2 linked regions of the Alligator mississippiensis genome follow. The protein of the gene in region 1 purifies or fractionates together with the protein of each later gene. This does not show direct contact. Links are inferred from orthologs where the notes say so. Each region holds a gene or a part of one and is shown on either strand. Other genes may lie near its edges.

The links.
Region 2: the proteins of EGFR (region 1) and LONP1 purify together in Homo sapiens (affinity purification with mass spectrometry; 3 studies listed by BioGRID and IntAct, with this or other methods). This does not show direct contact. The link is inferred for Alligator mississippiensis from reciprocal best matches to the Homo sapiens genes EGFR and LONP1.

Annotation. Positions count from the first base shown.
Region 1 is NC_081828.1:121,541,046-121,548,104, reverse strand, and holds the start of EGFR (epidermal growth factor receptor), read right to left. Parts: upstream 3,005-7,059; 5' UTR 2,705-3,004; coding exon 2,590-2,704; intron 1-2,589. UniProt on the Homo sapiens protein: Receptor tyrosine kinase binding ligands of the EGF family and activating several signaling cascades to convert extracellular cues into appropriate cellular responses.
Region 2 is NC_081839.1:11,905,062-11,912,918, reverse strand, and holds the start of LONP1 (lon protease homolog, mitochondrial), read left to right. Parts: upstream 1-4,838; 5' UTR 4,839-4,858; coding exon 4,859-5,248; intron 5,249-7,857. UniProt on the Homo sapiens protein: ATP-dependent serine protease that mediates the selective degradation of misfolded, unassembled or oxidatively damaged polypeptides as well as certain short-lived regulatory proteins in the mitochondrial matrix.

The DNA of each region.
Region 1 (7,059 bases):
GATCATAGGCAGACAAGGTTCTTTGGGCAGATGTGCTATCTTTTATTAGACCAACTAAATAGTTGGAAAAATTGTTCTTTGCAAACCTTTGGGCATAACTGCCCTTCTTCAGGCATAAGACTGAGTTTGTTGTCTCCAGAGATAACATCCTTGTTAACAGCAGTATATGGAGATGAGAGATAACAAACCTGATTACCTACCCATCAGCCCTCTGTCTCTCTGCAAGTGTGTACACACACAGTCAGGCCCTTACCTTTCTCTAAAAGTGCAAAGTTTCAAGAAGTTCAATTAATAAAGGATATCAAACAACAAGAATGCACTTTTTGTAGAAAACAATGATTAAATCGAGACTTCTGATGCATGATTTAAATTGTGTTTTAAATCAGGATTTAAATGGATTTGATTTGTCAGATCCACCCTGCTACAGTGCACAGTAGAATAGCCAAAAACAGAAAATAAAAATTACCAGCACAAAACTGATGATACAAGAGTGAAAAGCACTTTATTTGAATTGTGCTACCACTGAACAGTTACACTCCAAGTTACCATTGATCAGCTTCCCTAGACAGTAAATATTGTTCCTATTGCCACCCAGCAGCTTCTGATCTCATCCATGCATTAGGGAAAGACCAAATGAATTTTATTGTGATAATTTCAGTTTATACTATTGTATGCAAGCTACAGACTAATCCTAATCAATCCATAAAAGCCTTCAAGAACCACATCTTGCTTGGTTTCAGAACGTGCACAATTCCTGTTTGTTTTTTAAAGCACAGCAGCATCACAAAGTATTTCGTTGTTCCCCCGGCCATATTTAAGGGTTTTTTTCTTCAAACATTTTGGAAAAAGATAAAAACTATTATTAAAAGTGATCTCCGTGATCAAAACAAATTTAAGTCTTGTCCATTTTCAATAATTTTCTAACAAACATTGTGTTAGCATCCTTTTTTGAGACATCAGCTCTTTGTATGTAGTGATGTTCAAATAAAACTGTTAATGGGTTTAGTTGCAAGTATTTCCAACTGAAAACATATGTCCAAAAAAGTTTATTATAACACTTCATCATTTTCTACTGCTGGGCAGGTTCATGACAATGCGACTGCATTTTGCATTTCAGGGTCCATGGGTTCAAAAGGCCAACAGGATTTTGAGGAGGTAAGTTTGGGAGTCTTAAAGAACATTGGTTCAACCTTCCTCTGACAACTTAGAATTAACATTTGGAGTTATTATTTTACAATTCTCAAGTAAGGCAGGATTCCTGCATTACTAATTTCAATGGTAGTTTTATTATTTACTTCAACAGCAGCGCAAACAAGCACTTTCCTACTAGTCTTTAGTGACTGTACATTACAGTGAAAAATGAACTGAGCCAACAGGACATCCAAAAGAAGTACTGCCTTTTAACAACGTTAGGTCTTGATCTCTTTCAGACTCAAAGAGCTATTGCCAAACCAAGCACATTGAGAATAAATCCTGCTGGTCCCCATTTCCTTACTGCCAACCCGTTATAATCATAAGACAACTACTACCTGATTTTTGCAAGCTTGCTTTAAACAGCATGTAAGCTATAGTGTTTATCCATAGGGATATATATATCCGGTAGAGTCTCTGCAACTCAGATAAGAGTTTTCTCTGGGCCACAGCGCAGAGACCACTTACTTCATTTAAAAAAAAAAAGTTGAGGGGGGAAAATGAAGGGAGGAAAAAGGGGGAAAAGGGGGAAGGAAAAAGAGGGGGGAGAGGAGGAGGGGAGGAGGGAAAATAACCTGCCCTTGTTATATCCACAGCGGGTATGAACTCACTCCTGAGGGATTCAAATAGGGCAACTAGTAAGTAGTTTCAAAAAAGGTGGGGTTCTCCTTTGCCCGATGGTTTTGCCAGGCACAAGATGCAGATCCCCTTGAGCCCAGCTCCCACATCAGACCTTATAAAAACCACAAGTGTCCCCTCCCCCCTCCTTCCCGGCTTTTTCCTTTAAAAAAAAAAAAAAAGTTTTATTTTTTTTTAAGTGTTTGGCAGATGTTCAAGATAAAGACGCCTCTGCCTGGAACCGAAGCTGCTCTGCCTGCTCTTACAAAAGAGCCAGCCGGACCAGCCAGGGACTCTTCCCCCTCCTCCTGCCTTGCAACCGGTTCCCCATGGAAGCCTCAGCCCCTGTCACAACCGCCCGGGCCCGCTCAGGGACACGCACACACACGCGCCCAGCTGACAGCCCGCCAGAGACGCGCGGCTCATTCATAAAGACAGCCGGCGCGCGTAGCGCTCGCCCCTCGGCCAGGAGCAGAACTCAGCCAAGGTTCCAAGAGGCGGATATAGAACGCGGCGAGCGTTCCGAGGGGAAGGAACAGAACGTAGCGAGGGTTCCAAAAGGGCTCGGAATAGAACGCCGCGAGCATTCCGCGGGGGGGATAGAACGTAGTGAGAGTTCGCGGGGCGGGGGGAATAGAACGTAGCGAGCGTTCCAAGAGGGGGCAGAACTTAGCGAGGATAACACAGGGGGAACAGAACGTAACGAGGGATGGGGGGTCCCGCCTGGGGGGCCTCGAGCCACACGAGGGGGGGAGCCCGCGGCTGGGGGGCTGCACGCACCTTTCTTCTCCTCCACGGCGGAGCACGGCCCGAGCAGCAGCAGCAGGATAGCGGCTGCCCCGGCCCGGCCGGCTCTGGCTCCTGCGCCCAGGCGGCGGCTCCTGCTGTCCCGCATCCCGGCGCTGCCGCTGCTGCTGCTGTAATCCCGTGGCTGGTGCTGCTGCTCTCAGCCCCGCGCGCCCGGGCTCCCGGCGGCCGCCACTGCACTGCCCATGCTGCAGGGGGGCGGGCACGGACTCGGGAGGAGGCGGCGCTGCTGCTGGGCTGGGCTGGAGAGGGGGGAGCTGCGGGTCGCAGCCGCCGGCCCCACGCGGGCGCTGGGTCGGGCCGGGGGTGGCTGCGGTCTTCCTCCGCCGGGAGCTCCGCCCGGGCCGCCTCGCTCGCCAAAACTTTCCCCTGCTGCCGGCGGGGCGGGGACGCTGGCGCTGCTGCCCCGCCAGGTGCCACCCCCACCGCCTGCCTCACCTGGCGGGGTGGAGCCGGGGACAAGCTCCTCCTCGGGGGCAGCAGGGCTTTGCCCCCTGTTCCGGGCGCCTCGGCGCCCTCTCCCGGCCAGCTCTGACGGAAGGCGGCCCGGCTTGCCCGGGCCTGGAGCTGGCTCTCATGCCCCTCAAGGCGCCTCTCCCTTGGAGCCCCCACCCCGCGCTCAAGAAAAGCTCTTCCTTAGCCACCACAGACCGAAAACAGAGCAGTTCTCTTGCAAAAGGAAGGACTTCCTAGGGGGAAGAGAGGTGCCAACCCTGCATTCCCAGAAACAGGCACCAGCTGCAATTGGGACTTCCCACATTTGTATAGAAAAGCCATAGGGGTTAGGGACACAAAGGCAGTCCCAATTCACAGCACAGCTCTGGCGACCTCCCCTGCTTCCTCGTGCCCTTTCAAACCTGTTAGGCAGGATTTCCTAGGGGGATATTTTTCTTGCCCCCCCCCCCACCCGGAATGAAGGGAGGCAAGCTTTCCAGGGTCTGGATTACACTTTGACTCTTGGAGGGGGCTGGAAAAAAAAAATTGGGGTGCCTATCATGATGCTATAATAAAAACGAAGACCCTCCCCTCAAGTTATGATTTTCAACTCTTACAGGGTGGGGGGGCTTCTGTCTCTTATGGGGTGGCTCAGCCATGGAGCTCCCCCGGTAATTCAAACCCTGAAGCTTTCCAGTTTAAGACCACCTTCCTTAGGTCTTTGAATATAGGCATCCTAGAGGAGGGGTGAGGGGAAATGTGCAGGTCTAGCAGACACACTGAGCAGATAAAAGCACCCAAGTCCTGGGAGATCAAGGCCTATCAAAGGGGGAGGAATAGGGGAGGATCAGGAAGGAGGTCTGAAATCTTGTCTAATTCTATCCCAGCTCCATAGCTGCTCCAATAAAACAGATCGCCTGCAGAAATCCTTGCCTCCTCACATCACTTCTGGTCTGTCACGCATACAATGTTACTCTTATTGCTACTGTTTTTCTGTTGCAAAGAGGGCAAGCAGGTCCCAACAGGGCAGGCAAGGTTTAGCCCTGCAGGTTCATCATTGAAGCCTCTGGGTTTCTAATTATGTTTGCCCACCCAACAGCAGTAGAGAGGATCTCTCCCTCCAATGGAGAATCACCAGCCTAGAGCCACCAGTGAAATTCCAGCCACCTCTCAGACCCCACTGCCTCACTCAGCCAGTCACAGAGCTGGTGCCTTCCCTGGCTATATCAGAGGCTACCTGCAACCCCAGTGGGAATGGGTAACTAGTTTGGCTTGAGTGGAGTGACTCCTGCCTTCCACTTGTGCCAGGGAAATCAAACTCCCTTCCCTTCCCTCAGGTGCATGCCTAGGTGTGCTGGCAGAAAGGCAATGCTATATCATGCTGGTTACAAGGAGAGAATAGCAGCAGCTGGCCCAGAACTTTATCAGAGAAAGGGGGTGGGGGAGAGAAGAAACCTGATAAAAGGTAATTGTGGGTGATTGGAGCTACAGGATAAATTAGTCTTGGTTTTCATCACTTCCAAAATAGAGTGTTACTAAAGGTTGAAATAAAAAATGCTAAGAAGCTTGGAGAAGGAGCTGACCCAGGGGGAAGAAGCCAAGTTTGTCAATAATTACCTTCTGAAGTTAATGATTTAAAAGATTAGGACACAGTACCAGCTCCTACTCTCACTCAAGTGGACTGGAGTTTTGCCACTGCCTTCTGCAGGATGGATCCTGCTCACGTTGCATGTACGTTTACCCCCACTACTTAAAAAAGTTGGTGACACAGGAGGACAAAGTTAAGAAAAATGCCACTGTTTCTGTGCATCACTTATTCCACAGGAAACTCAGAATCTCTTTGCCACTGGCCTTACTTCAGACTAATAGTTTTTTACCATAGTATAAATATATGTTCCTGCTTCCACTTGTCTTCTGGATAGGGGCCTTTGCCTTTCACAGAAATCAAAATTTCCCCTAAAAAAAAAAAAATCTGTAAAAATGTCATGTCCCTAAGGAATTTGAATCAAGCCTCATGTCTGTTATTTCTATTTTCCTCCTCAGACAAGACATTAAATAGTGTATAAATTATACAGATTTAGTACTTTGCTTATACTGCGTTACTGTGATATCCATAATATTTACTATCTATTGTATAGCAAATAAAATATAATAGTAGAATAGTAAAGCAATATAATTAAACTACTAAATGACATCCCTATACACTTAGCACTGGGCATATATGTAACCAGTTGTTTATACACCATTGCATTGATAATTAATATGTGTTGTACAAATCCTGTCATTTTATTAAGTACTTAATAAATGAGTAATAAACCCAGCCCTGGAGAAACAGCAGCAAGGCAAGCAAGTACATTTGTTATTTTCCACCACTAAGAAATGCCATTCAGTTTACACTGGAATCTACTTTTAGTTAAATCATTTGGGTTATTTTTTTGTTTGCTGGGGGGTGGGTGGGTATGAGTCTTGTCCCACGACAACTTCAGTTGAAAGGAAGGCTGGTCTTGCAAGCTAAGCATATAATTGGAAGCTAGACATTCCTACTTCTTGGTCTCGATTCTGTCATTGATTCTCAGTATTGTAGTAGAGAGGCCATTTAACTACCTGGTGTCTCAACTTCCCCTTCTGTAAAATGGGGTTAATATTTCCCTTTTATGGCTGTTGTGAGGATTATTACATTATACTTTTCAAGGTGCTGTAGAAACTGTAAGGAATGTAGACATTCTAAGAACTGTTATGGGCAAATAGGAGTTCCATGAAAGAGGAACTGAAGTTGGCAATGAGATGGCGATTTGGGACTTTGGTGCTAATTTGCTATAGGCAATTCTTTTCTATATCACGACCTGTAGAAACACAACACTGCACTGCAAAAGTAGTAGCCAACAGATATAACTTAACTTCCCCTTATGACACATTTTCTGCATCACTGTCACACTGCTACCAAGTACTTTTCTTCATAATATTTACTTTTGATTTGGTTAGCTTATGTTAATCAGTGGCGTATCTAAACAATGGAAACACTATTGTATTTAATTCCATTAGCTTAGGGAAAAAAAGTGGCTTGAACATGTGTCTTTAACCATATATCTTTACAATCATTATTTTAATGCCTTTTTAAAGAGTATCAGGTTGCTAATTAGGCAGACAAGGTTCCTTGGGTGAATTTGATATCTTTTATTAGACCAACCCAAATGGTTGGAGAATAGTTATTAAGCAAGCTTTCAGGTTCAAAAACCCTTCGTCAGGCTAAGGACGCTGCAGCAGTTGCTGCATGCTCTTCCTCGATGGAATGAAAAGGTTGCTAATTAGTTTTGCACAACAGAGCTTCGGTGTTCTGTATTTTATTCTCATATTTCCTGTATTGCAATTAGATCTTGTAAATAGTGAAGAAGAACCATGTTGAGCCAAACTGTGCACTTAGTTACAACCAAGCAACTTTACCAACATCCATGGATTGTACAGCTGTAACTAAGAGCAAAATTCATTCATAGCTTGCTTCAGAGATGCTCAATATTTACATTGCGTGTTATTACAATGTAAGATTCAACCTAAATGAAGCTGATAGTATCAAATAGAGAAATAGAATTAAACTGAGAGGGAAAGTAGAAGAATTTCTTCAATAAGAGACCCAAGGTAAAGGATCAAGTTGTAAGGAAGATGTGCATCCATCTGAAGAAACCTAAGCATACATTAAAGGCTGCACACTGTATTACAGGAAAGGATGCCAGATTAACAGATATATTTGTCCAAGGAGATATTATCAAAAAAATGTATGATTCAAAGGGAGTATTTGAGTATTATATTACAGTATAATGCAGCCACCTCCCAAGTACTCATTTGGTTATCCATAGACAATACGATGAGACCAGCTGTTCCCAAACTGTGGTATGTATACCACCAGTAGTATGCAGACAACCTGTCAGCGGTATGCATTAACAGATTTATTATAATTACTTTATATGCCAAAATTTGCTGGTGGTACTTAAGGTTGTATCGTTTTAAACTGGT
Region 2 (7,857 bases), on another chromosome or scaffold:
AGACTGGGTTCCTGCTTTGACCCAGCCAAAGCGGCTCCGAAGCTTCAGAGCTGCCTGAGATCTGGCCATAGGGTAAAATGGGGAATCAATGAAATATCTATAACTTTGTTGTTTTTTGTCCAGTTTGGATGAAACTGGCAGGGGTGGCCTCTGCTGAGAGCATGAAGCCTGCCAAGCTTCAAAAAGATCTGTGTAGGGGTTCTGGGGGAACTGCACCCCAAATTCTTGAAAGCAAAACTCATGTCACATGTATGTATTACTCTACGGGGGGTAAAAAGTGCAGGGGTGCTAGCCCCTGGTGAGGCCACAAAGCCTGCCAAGTTTCAAAGAGATAAGTGCAGGCCTTCAGGGAGAACTGCACCTCAAGCTGTGGACAAGCAAAACTTGTGACATGGGTGACACTGTGTGTGTTAAGGCGCAGCGGGGTGAAAGCTGCAGGGATGGTAGTCCCTGCTCAGGCCACAAAACCTGCCAGCTGTCAAGGAGATGGGTGCAGGGCTTCTGGGTTCTGCCCCCCCCGCCCATCCATGGGAGCATGATGGGCCTGTGGTGGCCTGGGCATCCCCATCCATGGCAATGTGATGGGCCCATGGGGCCCGGCACCTCTAGCTGCTGACAGGCAAAACATGTGACATGGGTGCTGGTGCAACTGACTGTCTCTGTCTTGGGGCAATTGGTTGTCTGTATTGATTATTTTCTCTCTTTAGTCTGTGGTTTTGTAGGTGTTAATTAGGTGTTAACGAGTTAATTAGCAAGGATTATTGTCATGGGTTTTGCTTGTCCGCAGCTTGAGGTGCAGTTTCCTCCAAACCCCTGCACCTATCTCCTTGAAACTTGGCGGGCTTTGTGGCCTCTGTAGGGGCCACCACTCCTGCAGTTTTCACCCCCACCTCCCCCACCCCCATGGTGTAACACATACATGTGACATGAGTTTTGCTTTCAAGAATTTGGGGTGCAGTTCCCCCAGAACTCCTAAACCGATCTTCTTGAAATTTGGCAGGTATCATGTTCTCAGCAGAGGCTACCACCCCTGCCAGTTTCATCCAAATCAGACAAAAAGCAACAAGGTTATAGATATTCCATTGATTCCCCATTATACCCTATGGCTAGATCTTCAAGGCGGCTCTGAAGATTTTCCGAAGCAGTTCAGAAGCTCCGAACCACTTCGGAAAGCCTAAAGAAGCCAGCGCTTCAATCCGGACATGTTACTTCAGACGCCGAAGCATCCGAAACTTCTCCGGATCCAAAGCACGGTCCGAAGCCTCGCACAGCCCTAGTGGCTGTTGGACTTAGAAACCAAATTCCTAACTTAGTGTTTTATGAATTGACACAACACTAGGTTGATAAATAGCAGAAAGGCTTGTTTTAATAACTACCAACAAGCTACACAACTAAATAACAGAAAAGACACTTTCTCAATATAAAACAAGCTATTATTCCTTAGTATTATCTTATCTGCACAAAGATATTTACCCAATGCAGGCAGGAAGCAGATCTTGTATAGCCTCAAAGCTTGGATCCTTCACTTGTCAGCTGGGTGGCAGGATAGCTTGGTCTGGACTGCACACACCTTGCTGGCAAATCTGTTTAGTTTTTCATACTGTTTCATTGTATAGCTTCAAAGCATTTTTTCTTGATGGTTGGCTGATTTAGAGTCCAAACAAACAGGGAGCAACAGGTTGATCATCATAACACGACTGCTAATTTCCTGGCACTTGTTCTTGATTTGTCTAGGTGTGAAAACTGTGTTTTTCTGCAGCCCCTGCAATTAAAGGTCAATTTACAGGTGATGGGTTTGACTACTCCAACAGGATCCTTAGAGGCGTCAACAAACCTGTCTTTGGGTATTTGTACATCAATGGGGCAAATGTGCAGTAGCTTATATCGCTGATGTTCTGTTTCATGGTATGTCTGGAGTTCTATAATGATCGAGACATTGTAACACCTTAGAGTGACATTTGATGCCTGTTTTGAGAAATCTGAGGATGTCAGTACAGAACATCCTCTCTATATTCAAGCAGACAAGGTTCTTTGGGTGAATGTGGTATCTTTTATTAGACCAACTTAATTAGTTGGAAAACAATTATTAAGCAAGCTTTGGGTTCAAAAACCCTTCGTCAGGCTAAGGAAATTTCAGCAGTTGGTGTGTGCGCTTCCTGGATGGAATGAAAAAGTAAAGAAGCCAGAGGCTGGGCTGGTATGCATGCAAGACAGGTAGTCAGTGAAAATGTAAATTGAGGAGTCAATGGGTGAGAGACAAGCTGGAGGGGGGGAGGGGGGGAGAAGAGAAAAGGGGGATGAATAGTGGAAAGATACCTGGGGAGTCAGATGTCAGGCAGGTTATAATGTGTCATAAATCCAATGTCTATAATTAGTCCATGATTTTTAGTATCCAGCAGGTTGATGAAGTGGAGTTCATAGGCTCGTCTCTGGGAAGTGTTGTGTAAGTTTCCTTTGAGGATCAGGACTGAGAGATTGGAGAGAGAGTGGCTTTCTTGTGAGAAATCATGGACTAAATATAGACATAATCATGGACGTTACCCCCCCCCCGCCGCCCCTCCAACCTCTCACCCATTGACTCCTCAATCTACATTTTCACTGACTACCTGTCTTGTATGCATACCAGCCCAGGCTCTGGCTTCTTTACTTTTTCATTCCATCCAGGAAGAGCACACACCAACTGCAGAAACTTCCTTAGCCCAATGAAGGGTTTTTGAACTTGAAAGCTTGCTTAATAATTGTTTTCCAACTATTTAAGTTGGTCTAACAAAAGATATCAGATTCACTCAAAGAACCTTGTCTGCCTATGTCCTTAGACCAACAGGGCTACAACCTACATCACTATATTCAATGCACCTTTTACAGGTTTCTTTTGAGATGTGTATTTAGCCTTTTGTCTTCTTTAGCTTCTAGGTCAATTGAAATGCATATGTAGTTTCTTTGCCTTTACTGGCTCACTGGCCCAGCTTTTCCTTTGGCTCTCTTAGCTTGGAAATACACGTGATGAGTGTGTTAGGACTCTGCAAACAATTTTACCTTTATTTTTATTACTTTATGGCATGGGTCTGGTATTGGGTACCACAAGCACTCCACTGTCTTGACGCCTAATGGGTTGCAAGCCATTAGCGGAGTTTGATATTTTTTTCTTTTTTTTTTCTTGTGGCAGTCTTGTTACCGCAATCCCGTCTTGCCCCAGCCATTGTCTTGTACACCCATCCAAGCTTTCAGTTTTCAGATGCAGCAGCGGCCTACACTGGCCCCAGCTTTTTGAGGGAAAGGCATCAAGATGGTAGAGATGTTGAGGGGTGTGTACACCACCCAGCCTGGGCCCAACTAGGCTACTGTTTCCTAATGGTGGGTCTTTCCCAGGAAAAGATAAGCAATTGTGAAGTGGCCTGGGTTGCTGCAGTACAGAGATCCGCTGATCACCTTCTGCCCTTTTCTGCCTTGTTCAAGAGGGACTGCCTGGTCAACTTGCATTTGCTTCTGGGGAAGTTAATTCAAGGAGAGCAAGGAAGTAGCGTTCACGGGTTAGTGTCACCCTCTTAGGGTCCTTGCCCACTCCAGTCTCCATAGATAGGCAATGGTCCCTCTGAACGCAGGTTCACCTCCTCGCTCGGTCCCTGGTGGAAGTGGAAGAACGAAGCAGCTCCATTCCATTGGTGTCAACAGCTAGTTATTGGAAATCAGCTGTACGTTGGCTTATAGACAGCTTATAGATATGTTGGCCCCAGCATCTGAAGGGCCATTTCTGCCATTTGTGAACTGTAGGGACTTGGCATACGACACCAACACGGCCTGACAGAAGCCCTCCAGAAGGCTCGGGAGGGGGCTGGAGTGTTGCAGGAGAGCGGAGGCCGGGGCCAGGACACCTCCTGTTAGTAAACTAATCAGCCCCACCATGGTGTTGGTGGAGTGCGTTTGGGAGCACAGGCAGCACTGATTCACCAACACCCAGTCTTTTTGGCTCGCTACCAAACACTGAGGTAGTGCAACCTGAGGTCCATGGAAGTAGGAGCACTTGGAGCAGGGATTACAGCTGCTGCCGGCAGCTCTGGCTTCAGCTTGAAGATGCCATGTCCATGCTGTGGGGCAGCAGGGCCCACCTTTTTGGCAGCTGTGCCACAAATTAGCCTCCCATCCTCCCCAAATGCCTCACAGCTTCTTGCACAACTGCAAAGTGCCCTAACCTGCTGCAGGTAAAGCACAGGGACAACTGCCGCAATGACCTAACAACGTGTTATTGTAACCTTATCCTACTTCAGCTCCGTTTCCCCTTTTAAGAGATCGAAGCGCACATACAGCGCTTGGAAAGGGTACAACTCATGACCAAGTTAACCTGAACTCTGGGTTAACCACGTGTTTTACCAGTAGATAGAAAACAAATCATTAGGGGTCACGAGTCAGGCCTGTGGTGCAGGGTGGGGAGAGGCTGCGGGGCAGGACCAGGCTCGGGATCACCGAAGGGCTGACGCGCAGCTGGCGACCCGTGCCCGGGGCCCCGGAGTCCGAGCCCGAGCCCAGCGCAGCGGGAAGGCCGCGGAGGCACCGCCCGCACCACAGCGAGGCGACGGGTGTCCCGCGCGCGCCACGGACGGGCGGGGCCCCGCGGGACACGTGACGCGGCGCCGAGCACGCAGGCCCACGCCGCGGGCAGCCCCCGGGACGGAGCAGCCGGAAACGACGAACCGCAGCCCGCGGCTTGGCCCCGCCCCCGGCAGTCCCGGCCCTCGCGCGCCTGCGCGCACACGTTCGGCCGCGCTCGGACGGAACCGGCGCCCCCACGCGAGGGGGAGGGGGCGTCATTCGCGTGCGCCGCCTCGTGGGCGGAAGTACGTGTTCCCGGCGCGCGGGCAAGATGGCGGCGGCGCGCTGCTTGTCCGTGTGGCGGTGCTGGCGGCCGGGGCTGCGCGGGGTCCTTCCCTCGCTCGGGGCGGCGCGGCGGCGGGTCTACGCGGCGTGTTCCTCCGCATCGCCGTGGGCGCCGAGTCCTCCGTGTTCCTCTCCCCTCGTCGCCTCGAGCCTCGGCCCCCGGCGGTACATGCGGGGCCTCAGCAGCCTGGGCGGCGGCGGCGACGGGCTGGAGGGCGGCGGGGCCGAGGATGGGGCCGCGGGGGGCAACGGCGGCGGGGCGGGGCCGGTCATGACCGCGCTCACCCCGCTGCTCATCCCCGAGCACTTCCCCAACGTGCCGCTCATCGCCGTGACCCGGAACCCGGTCTTCCCGCGCTTCATCAAGATCATTGAGGTAACGGCTGCACGTAGCCCCTTCCCTCTGCGCCTCCCGGCCGGGCTCTTCTCCCCGCTCCGCCAGGGCCGGCCTGTGCCCTCAGTTGCTGGGCTGCACCCTGTACCGCGGCGCTGAAACTCCTTGTGAGCCCTTGTCATGGGAGCTTCTTCCTGCAGCCGCCTCGGTTCCTGCTTCATCGGGGTAACCCCCACCCTCACCAGCGCCTTCTGCATTTGCTCGCAGGAGAGCCTGGTGCTCCTCTTCCCATGGGCTCAGCTCCACTGCCATCTTCAGCTGAGATATGGGAGCAACAAGGCTCTCATACGAAGGTGGGAACAGAAGCGCTTCTGCTGCTGCTTTAGGTGATTGCTCCTGTGGGCATGGAGATCACTTAATGTAGATCTGTTTGTCTCCTGGATCTGAGTTAGTCTCCTGTTTCATGCAGAGCATGAAACTCTCTGCTGGCCGGGTCGGAAGGAGTGTGTTAAGCAGGGGAAGCCGGAGGGCTTGCAGAAAGCTGGCTTAGTTAGTATTAAATACATTTGTGCGCCGCTCCCCCATCCCATTATGCTGTTGCATTAGTGTGCTTCCTTCCACCTATTGCAGTATATGTTAAGCCTGGACCTGTACACAGATTATGTACAGGTATAGCCATCAGTTATGTTCCCCAGGTGACCCCCTTGGAAAAACACTTAAACAGTACAACCGTAGTACAGAAGGCAGAGTAGAGATGCACCTTATCGACTAACTCAAGGATGTGTAATTTTCATCTTCAAGAGTGAAGGGAGGGAAATTGGGAGACATTTGCCTGTCTCAGCACTAACTAATAAACCTATAGGGATATAGGGGTCAAAAAAGCTATGATCCTGTGGCTTTGTTACTTGTTTATATCTCATCACAATGTCCGGTTGGCAGCCGGTCCAGCCCCTCCCACTGGGAAGACCCTGGCTCAGCCTCTGGCCCCAGCCCACCCTCACCCCATGCACAGATTCAGGGGACACATGCCCCCCATGCCTCCCCCGGGGTGCAAGCTGCAGCAGGAGTCGCACCCCTCTGTAGCCCCCCGGATGAGCCACAGATCCATCCTGCACCCCACACTGCCCTGACTGTGCAGCACCTGCCCCAGCCCTCCCTCCCTCCCTCCCTCACTGCGGGAGCCTCAAGCTGTGCCCCTGCCCCCGCAAGCCCTTGACTTTACTTAATAACACCATTTGATTTAATTATTAGAGCAGAGGACTAAGACCTGGGATTCTTGGGTTCACTCTTAGCTCTGTCGCTAACTTTCCAAGGGACCTTGAGTAAATCACTTCACTTGTTTATGCTTTTTTTTCCCCATTTGTAAATGGAAATGATCATTATCTTTGTTATTGGGTGGAGAAATGAGGTAAACAGTATACAGTGCTCTGAGATTTTAAAAGAAAACAAAAATCCTTATTTATTCAAATACAAGATAAAGGTTTACTCTAATGCAGGGCTAGGCTTTTTCCTCAATGAGCATGGGGGACAATGATTAAATGCAGCCAACACTGAGCATGGCTTGGCTATAAAACATGTGGCCTATAGTGGGCAAACACACACGGAATATTTTTGTTAAAGAATAAAAAAAATAAAAATTAGAAACACCCTTATCATTATTGACTCCAAGATGAACATGAGCCACCAGTGCCAGACCACAGCCAGCAAAGCTAGCCATACCTTGTCATGCATCCAAAGGTGCGTCTCAAGCTGGTCCAGAGAGGTGATACTCCCCCTCTATGCGACTTTGGTCAGGCCGCAGTTGGAGTACTGCATCTAGTACTGGGCGCCGCACTTCAAAAGGGATGTGGCCAGCCTGGTGAGGGTTCAGAGGAGGGCCACCCAGTGGCTTGGTGAGAGGGCAGCAGGACAGGCCGGATGAGGAGAGACTGAGGGACCTGAACCTGTTCAGCCTCAGCAAGAGGAGGCTGAGGGGAGACCTGGTGGCTGCCTACAAACTCATCAGGGGAGATCAACAGCAAAAAGGTTAGAGCCCTTTGCTCCCCAGCACCACCTGGGGTGACAAGGAACAATGGTAATAAGCTGATGGAGAACAGGTTTAGGTTAGAGATCAGAAGGCAATATTTTACAGTTAGGGTGGCCAAAACCTGGAACCAACTTCCCAGGGAAGTGGTCCTCGCCCCTACCTTGGGCAAATTCAAGAGGATGTTGGACGATCACCTGTCTGGGGTCTTGTGAACCCAGCATTCATTCCTGCCTGTGGCAGGGGGTCAGGCTAGATGACCTGTTCAGGTTCCTCCTGACCCTAGCTACTATGAAACATATATCGACTTCTCACAAAAAAGTCCCTTACAGAACTCTTTCTTCATGCAGAACCCCATGAAACTACTACCTCAGCAACCATCTGAAACTCTCCATCTGTCCTGTCGGTTCCCTCTGTCAGTTTAGTGAAACAAGTGTATCCATTCCTTTTCTTCCGCTTCTCTGCCTGTTCTTCTCTGATCTCTTCCTTGTCCTGACCAATGTAGTATTTCAAGTCATGCAGCCCCAGCTTCAGCTACTCTTTCAATGAAAGCCAACCCCTGAAGAAAACAAAGACTTATTACTTTCCATAAACTGGTTTTAAAACATGTTAATAAAGTCTTTAATAA